Macaca mulatta: one gene and its partner. The protein of the gene in region 2 binds, or shares a complex with, the protein of the main gene of each other region. Links are inferred from orthologs where the notes say so. Each region holds a gene or a part of one and is shown on either strand. Other genes may lie near its edges. The genes, in order: CWC27 and CRNKL1.

Region 1 (3,820 bases), on a different chromosome or scaffold from region 2:
TTCTCCTGGATGATATCCTGAAGTGTTTTCCAACTTGGTTCCATTTTCCCCCTCACTTTCAGGCACCCCAATCAGACCTAGATTTGGTCTTTTTAAATAATCCCATACTTCTTGCAGGCTTTGCTCATTTCTTTTTCTTCTTTTTTCTTTTGGTTTCTCTTCTCGCTTCATTTCATTCATTTGATCCTCAATCGCTGATACTCTTTCTTCCAGTTGATCGAGTCGGTTACTGAAGCTTGTGCATTTGTCACGTATTTCTCGTGTCATGGTTTTCATCTCTTTCATTTCGTTTAGGACCTTCTCTGCATTAATTACTCTAGCCATCAATTCTTCCACTTTTTTTTCAAGATTTTTAGTTTCTTTGCGCTGGGTACGTAATTCCTCCTTTAGCTCTGAGAAATTTGATGGACTGAAGCCTTCTTCTCTCATCTCGTCAAAGTCATTCTCCGTCCAGCTTTGATCCGTTGCTGGCGATGAGCTGCGCTCCTTTGCCGGGGGAGATGCGCTCTTATTTTTTGAATTTCCAGCTTTTCTGCCCTGCTTTTTCCCCATCTTTGTGGTTTTATCTGCCTCTGGTCTTTGATGATGGTGATGTACTGATGGGGTTTTGGTGTAGGTGTCCTTCCTGTTTGATAGTTTTCCTTCTAACAGTCAGGACGCTCAGCTGTAGGTCTGTTGGAGATTGCTTGAGGTCCACTCCAGACCCTGTTTGCCTGGGTATCAGCAGCAGAGGCTGCAGAAGATAGAATATTTCTGAACAGCGAGTGTACCTGTCTGATTCTTGCTTTGGAAGCTTCCTCTCAGGGGTGTACTCCTCCCTGTGAGGTGTGGGATGTCAGACTGCCCCTAGTGGGGGATGTCTCCCAGTTAGGCTACTCAGGTGTCAGGGACCCACTTGAGCAGGGAGTCTGTCCCTTCTCAGATCTCAACCTCCGTGTTGGGAGATCCACTGCTCTCTTCAAACCTGTCAGACAGAGTCGTTTGTGTCTGCAGAGGTGTCTGCTGCGTTTGTTTACTGTGCCCTGTTCCCAGAGGTGGAGTCTACAGAGACAGGCAGGTTTCCTTGAGCTGCTGTGAGCTCCACCCAGTTCCAGCTTCCCAGCAGCTTTGTTTACCTACTTAAGCCTCAGCAATGGCGGGCGCCCCTCCCCCAGCCTCACTGCTGCCTTGCTGGTAGATCACAGACTGCTGCGCTAGCAATGAGGGAGGCTCCGTGGGTGTGGGACCCTCCCGGCCAGGTGTGGGATATGATCTCCTGGTGTGCCTGTTTGCTTAAAGCGCAGTATTGGGGTGGGAGTTACCCGATTTTCCAGGTGTTGTGTGTCTCAGTTCCCCTGGCTAGGAAAAGGGACTCCCTTCCCCCTTGCGCTTCCCAGGTGAGGCAATACCTCGCCCTGCTTCAGCTCTCACTGGTCGGGCTGCAGCAGCTGACCAGCACCGATCGTCCGGCACTCCCCAGTGAGATGAACCCAGTACCTCAGTTGAAAATGCAGAAATCACCGGTCTTCTGTGTCGCTCGCGCTGGGAGTTGGAGACTGGAGCTGCTCCTATTCGGCCATCTTGCTCCGCCCCCCAAGAAACTAAACTTTAAACTACTAAATGTTATTACCTAAATGTAAAATCAAAATCCGAAAATGTAAAATCAATACTGGCTAAGTGGCACATTATTAGCTCATACCATTACTATGGTTTTAAAGAAGAAATACACTAAAGTCACAACTAATGAGTGAATTGAAAGATGCAAAAAAGAATTTAGCTGCTCCCTCATAGTGCACTATAATAGGAATATATTCCATCATTTTTGTAAAGAATAAACATATCCTATGGAATGTTTTGATGAAGGTAACTCTTAGATAAGTTAATCATATGTATCTTAGAAGCCTAAGGAATAACATAAAACCAAAAACTGAACCACAGGTTTAAAATCACTGGACACTAACCTTTCCAAAGATGGTATGCTTATTGTTAAGTTCATCCGCTCGACCCAGTGTGAAGAAAAACTGGCTGCCATTATCATGAGAACCAGCATTTGCCATGGCAACCAGGCCTCTCCGATTAAAACGCAACCGTGAATGAAATTCATCCTGAAATGTAAAAAAGATCTAGTGAATGTCCTCAGTTATAAGACCCGTCATATGCAGTTATTCAACTTGACCCGCAAGGTCCCGTACAACTTCTAATAAAAAATGCAGACATTTTGCTTAATTGATTTTTGAGCACTTACTATTCTTTCAATGTTATTAAACTTGAATTCACTAGACTGTATTTTCTAAATATACTCATACAGAAATATACCCTATTTTGTGGAAAGCTGCTTAGTTATACCCAAAGGAAGAGTACCCAAGGGGGAATGGATTTCTAAATTATTTCCCTACTCTCATCCCAAAGTCAGCTAAGCTTTTGAAATCTTCTCTTACTTCTCCCAGAACACTACCTTTGAGCCATTGCAGAGTCTTCAATTATTACTCTTTCCCATCTCATTCTAAATGTCATTAAACAATTGCTTTCTTCTTGTTTTTTAATTCAAATAATCTACTATTATTGTGTCATGTAATTTTACCATGTCTTTTTAAAGTCCTAAGTTGAATCTTCTCTGAAATGGCACTGATTCTATTTGCCAGTTTTCAAAAGAGCAGGAACAAGTCTTTCTAAGGTGGTTTTCTCACCACGATAGGGCTACTTAACAAATATATTAGTCTCTTAGTTAACAGAATTTCCTTCCAACCTGATATTGAAGTCATTTATAAATGTAGCCATGTTATATCATAAATGCTTTTCACAAAGGGAGATTTTTTCCTTAATAAATAATTCTCAAGAGATCTGAACTCAATGGATCACAACTCTGTATACTGTATTCAAAATGACCTAATTGAAAAATGTAACAAGATAACTGTATTACCTGAAAATAATGAAGCAAAAATCTCAAGTTAGGAAGGAATTGTCAAAAACAACTATTCTGTTACACTAAATAAAAGAATAAAAGAATGTTTCCGACTAGACGAAGTACCTAAAATCATGAGAAGTCTTACTATGGTAAAATATAAAACAGTCTAAAAGTGATATCTGAGACTTTTAAAGTAACTATTCCAAATTTCTAAAGCCATTATCATCTGGAAATTAAAGCAAACAGTTCAAATATTTTCTTCAAGAATGACACAATGACTTGGTAAAAGATGAAAGGAAAATGCAGACAATCTATTCCATTAGTATAAAAATGAATTTTTCAAAAACTCCCATATTTTAAGAGATACTGTTTACTCATTCAAAGAACATGATATTGGTGCCATCAAATTAATAACAAACACAATTTTTAGCTTTTACTTGAACTTGCTATTGTTCTTAATATCTTCACTATGACATTAACTCTTTTTCTTCTTAGATCTATGTTGGCAGATAAGAAATCACTGACCTATTCTTGATTAATGCATCTTTTACAGACAATTTATTTATTTATTTTTTTTTTTGAGACAGAGTCTCACTTGGTCGCCCAGGCTAGAGCGCACTGGTGCGATCTCAGCTCACTGCAACCTCCACCTCCCAGGTTCAGGCAATTCTCCTGCCTCAGCCTCTTGAGTAGCTGGGATTACAGGTGTGTGCCACCATGCCTGGCTACTTTTTGTAATTTTAGTAGAGACGGGGTTTCACCATTGGCCAGGCTGGTCTCAAACTCTTGACCTCAAATGATCCGCCCCCCTTGGCTTCCCAAAGTGCTGGAATTACAGGCATGAGCTACTGCACCCAGCCTGATTTTTATATACTACTGTGAAATGTTTTTTCCTCTTGTGGAACACAATCATTTTCGATTAAGCAATCCAAACTG
Region 2 (3,820 bases):
CAGAGGTGAGCATCTCAAGTCAAATACCATTTTAAGATACTTGTTTAGTCTTACTTTAGATGACCGTCTAAATGTGGGTGTATTTTAGAGTATAAAGATGATCTAGCTAACTTAGTCTCTTCTGCTCAGATTAGGCTTGTATGTGGAAAGGTGACTGTTGGGGACAGGGGAAGTACCCCTCCTGTTAGATACCAGTAGACATCCAGGATGATGCCCAGGATGAATTGGGATATCGTGGGGGTGGGTGATGCCCCTCTCCAACAGGGAAGCCTAAAGGGGCTGGGGAAGATGCCAGGCAAAGAAGCAGCCAGCAGGCTGGCCCACCTGGAGAACAAGGGGGATGGAGGTGGGAACACATATCCCTGTATTCTCTAAACCAGGATGTCCTTGCCACTACTGTTGTCACTGTCCTGAAAGTCGTCGCCTGCCTTCAGTAGTTAAGCTTGACCCACAAGGTAGCACCAAACCACAGCTAGGACCGATTTGAATCTCACAGGAGCCGTAGAACTCACCCAGTTGTTTTGTTAATCTCATGCACTGACATGACCCCGCATTTAATGGTTTGGCCCCCTGACTGCGTTAAGGCAGAGCTTTGGGTATCACTGAGTTTGTCAGTTGTCCTCAGCTCCTCCACCAGACTGCCAGGTCTCAGGTGTCCAGGCCACGGTTTATTCATCCTTATGCCCTGCCAGGCTGCACCGAGCCAGTGCTCACCTGTTCAGTGAATGCTTGTTGCATTGAACTCTCATAATAACAAGGAGTGTACAGTAGAGGTAAGAACATACATACTGGCTAACCTGGGCCTATTTTCTCTCTGGAAGCTCAACTGCATGTAGCTGGAATATGAAAGAGTACCTGGGAGATGCTTGGCAAGTTTCTCAGCTCTTGATAAGTCAACCATTTGAAAAACTTCCAAAGAGAATCTCTAAGACTGAATCCAAGGCCCTTTTTCTGTAATCTGAAATTCTAGCCAAGTTTTGGCCAGCTTATAGATACCAATGTTATTTGTCTTATCCACATGTGTTCTTTAGTTGTTCTGTAAAACTCTTATGTTCCTAGATGTAGGTTAGAGTGATACTTAAGCTGTGCTTTGGCTGGGGGCATGCTGCTTTGCAAATGTCAAGACTGACCAATTTACTTGTCTTTCTTAGGTGCTTTGGAAATCATATATTGATTTTGAAATTGAGCAGGAAGAAACGGAAAGAACACGAAACCTTTACCGACGGTTGCTTCAAAGGACGCAGCATGTCAAGGTATCCTTTTGCTTTGTAGATGATCTTTCATTTTGCTTGAATCAGCAGTCCTGAAGAAAATACTCTATTTCTGTATTTTAAGTGTGTGGGGTTTTTTTGTTTTTTGTTTTGTTTTGTTTTGTTTTAAATGACTTCCTTGCTTCTTAAGAGAAACATGAGTCTCAGAGGACTTTCGAATGTTAAGTTTATACCAGGTCATTGTTTATGTTGCATGTGAATAGCTTGGGTATCACAAGATTGAAAAAAAGTTAAACTTTTTTTTTTTTTTTTTTTGAGACAGTCTCACTCTGTCGCTAGGCTGGAAGGCAGTGGCGCAATCTTGGCTTACTGCAACCTCCTCCTCCCGGGTTCAAGCAATTCTCCTGCCTCAGCCTCCTGAGTAGCTGGGAGTAGAGGTGTGCGCCATCACGCCCAAGCTAATTTTTCTATTTTTAGTAGAGATGGGGTCACCTGTTGGCCAGGATGGTCTCAATCTCTTGACCTTGTGATCTGCCCGCCTCAGCCTCCCAAAGTGCTGGAATTACAGGCGTGAGCCACTGCACCCAGCCAAGTTAAACTCTTTTCAAGAGTTTAAAACTATGTCAGACATTTAACTGTAGAATGTAGAATGACATATTTTCAGTGTTTGTATTGAAGCATATATTCATTGTTTTAATCTGTGAAACACTAGTAATGAACACATCTTTCTGATGTCATTAACTGGGAATTCGCTTTATTATTACTACATTAGTGTCTTCTGAGTGACATGGTTAATTTGGTTCAATAATAACTTTTTTTAAAGGTATGGATCAGCTTTGCTCAGTTTGAGTTGTCTTCAGGAAAAGAAGGAAGTTTGGCTAAATGCAGACAAATTTATGAAGAAGCTAACAAAACCATGCGAAACTGTGAAGAAAAGGAAGAGAGACTTATGCTGCTGGAATCTTGGCGAAGTTTTGAAGAGGAATTTGGAACAGCTTCAGATAAGGAGAGAGTAGACAAACTCATGCCAGAGAAAGTCAAGAAGAGAAGAAAGGTCCAGACGGACGATGGGGTAAGATCTCTGCCCTGGGACTGTTCATCTCACGTAACATGAGTAGAAACACATCTGACTTTGAAATGTAGACTTTTAAGTGGCATATGTACAATCTTAGAAGGGAAGCAGACCACCTGGAGTAGGAGATGGTTGCAATCTGGCTGTTATGGAAACACGGGGTAGAGCATATGGTCCAGTCAGAGGTGGAGAATGAGAAGGGGTTGGCAAAGGTGTTTTGATGACGGTTGAGTCTGGGAACTTCATGAAGTGTGATATTTTTAGAGCATTAAATAGGAAGTCAGCGTGGAGGAAGACTGAAGCGAACTTTCAGATAGCAGCCTATCCAGGGAAGGCTTGTAGGCGATAAGAAGGAGTTTGGTGGGAGTCAGTGAAGGCTGTTTTGCATAAAATGACGTGACCAGATTGCTGGCATCTGGCATCTCATACTGGTAGACTCAAGGGGCTTAGACTGGAGAAAGAAGACCCATCAGGAAGCAGTTTTTATAAGCTGAGCAAGACATGGAAGCTGGAACTAGAACAGGGCCACAGGGCCTGTTAGAACAGTATTTGGAAGGTGAAATCAGTGACTGATAAGAGGTGAGGATGGGAGGGTAGGGAGTTGGAATAATAATGCACAGATGTATGACTTTTGCTACTGGATGAATATTATGTAAAAATCGTTAAACATTTTCTTAAACCTAAGACTGCACAATGTAGTTGGAGACACTGAACATCTTGGTTGGCTGTAGAAGAGCTATGCTTAGATGTTTAGAATTTTTTTCTACCATTTTAGTTCTCACTGAGCTACAGTTGCTGCTTACTCACTCCCAGTCTTTCAGACCCAGCCCTTGTTCTTTCTGTAGTAGACTTTGATGTTGTTTTGTAAAATGGAGGAGTGTATCACCCACGTTTGCTTATCTTTTCATTGTTTTATTTCTGTAGTCTGATGCAGGCTGGGAAGAATACTTTGATTACATCTTTCCAGAAGATGCTGCCAACCAGCCTAACCTCAAACTCCTGGCCATGGCCAAACTGTGGAAGAAACAGCAGCAGGAAAAGGAGGATGCTGAGCACCATCCAGATGAGGACGTCGATGAGAGTGAATCCTGATCTTTTTTTCATATTGACAAATGTTTTGTTATTTTTATAAATTAATTGTTTGGAACTCTTGTGACTCCTGGAAGTTCTTACATATTTCACCAGTAAGAAACTGATTGGTATCTTTGATAGCTACTTTTTAAGTTATTTTTTAAATGCTCTTGGGTTAGCTAGGGGTGGGGATTGCAAGTAAAGGACTTTTTTAACTGCTGGATTTCTTTTTCCAACTGAGTCCAAACTTTTCTAGCGTCTGTCCACATCATGCATTAGAAAATGTAATTAAGGTAACATTCTACAGTAACTTTTCATGTCATAACCATAAAGATAGTTTATGCATTCATCTGAAATGTGTAACTTTTTCATGTCTTCAGAGTCACAGACTTGAGTTCATTTCCCAGCTCTGCCACTCATGATTATATAACTTAATTTTCATTTTGCTCATTCACAAAATGGGCCA

The links.
Region 1: CRNKL1 (region 2) and CWC27 share a complex: the UniProt entries of both Homo sapiens proteins name them as parts of the minor spliceosome. The link is inferred for Macaca mulatta from reciprocal best matches to the Homo sapiens genes CRNKL1 and CWC27.

The regions. Positions count from the first base shown.
Region 1 is NC_133411.1:72,827,994-72,831,813, reverse strand, and holds part of CWC27 (spliceosome-associated protein CWC27 homolog), read right to left. Parts: intron 2,085-3,820; coding exon 1,941-2,084; intron 1-1,940. UniProt on the Homo sapiens protein: As part of the spliceosome, plays a role in pre-mRNA splicing. Probable inactive PPIase with no peptidyl-prolyl cis-trans isomerase activity. As a component of the minor spliceosome, involved in the splicing of U12-type introns in pre-mRNAs.
Region 2 is NC_133415.1:63,986,311-63,990,130, forward strand, and holds the end of CRNKL1 (crooked neck-like protein 1), read left to right. Parts: coding exon 1-5; intron 6-1,151; coding exon 1,152-1,253; intron 1,254-2,034; coding exon 2,035-2,283; intron 2,284-3,207; coding exon 3,208-3,375; 3' UTR 3,376-3,710; downstream 3,711-3,820. UniProt on the Homo sapiens protein: Involved in pre-mRNA splicing process. As a component of the minor spliceosome, involved in the splicing of U12-type introns in pre-mRNAs.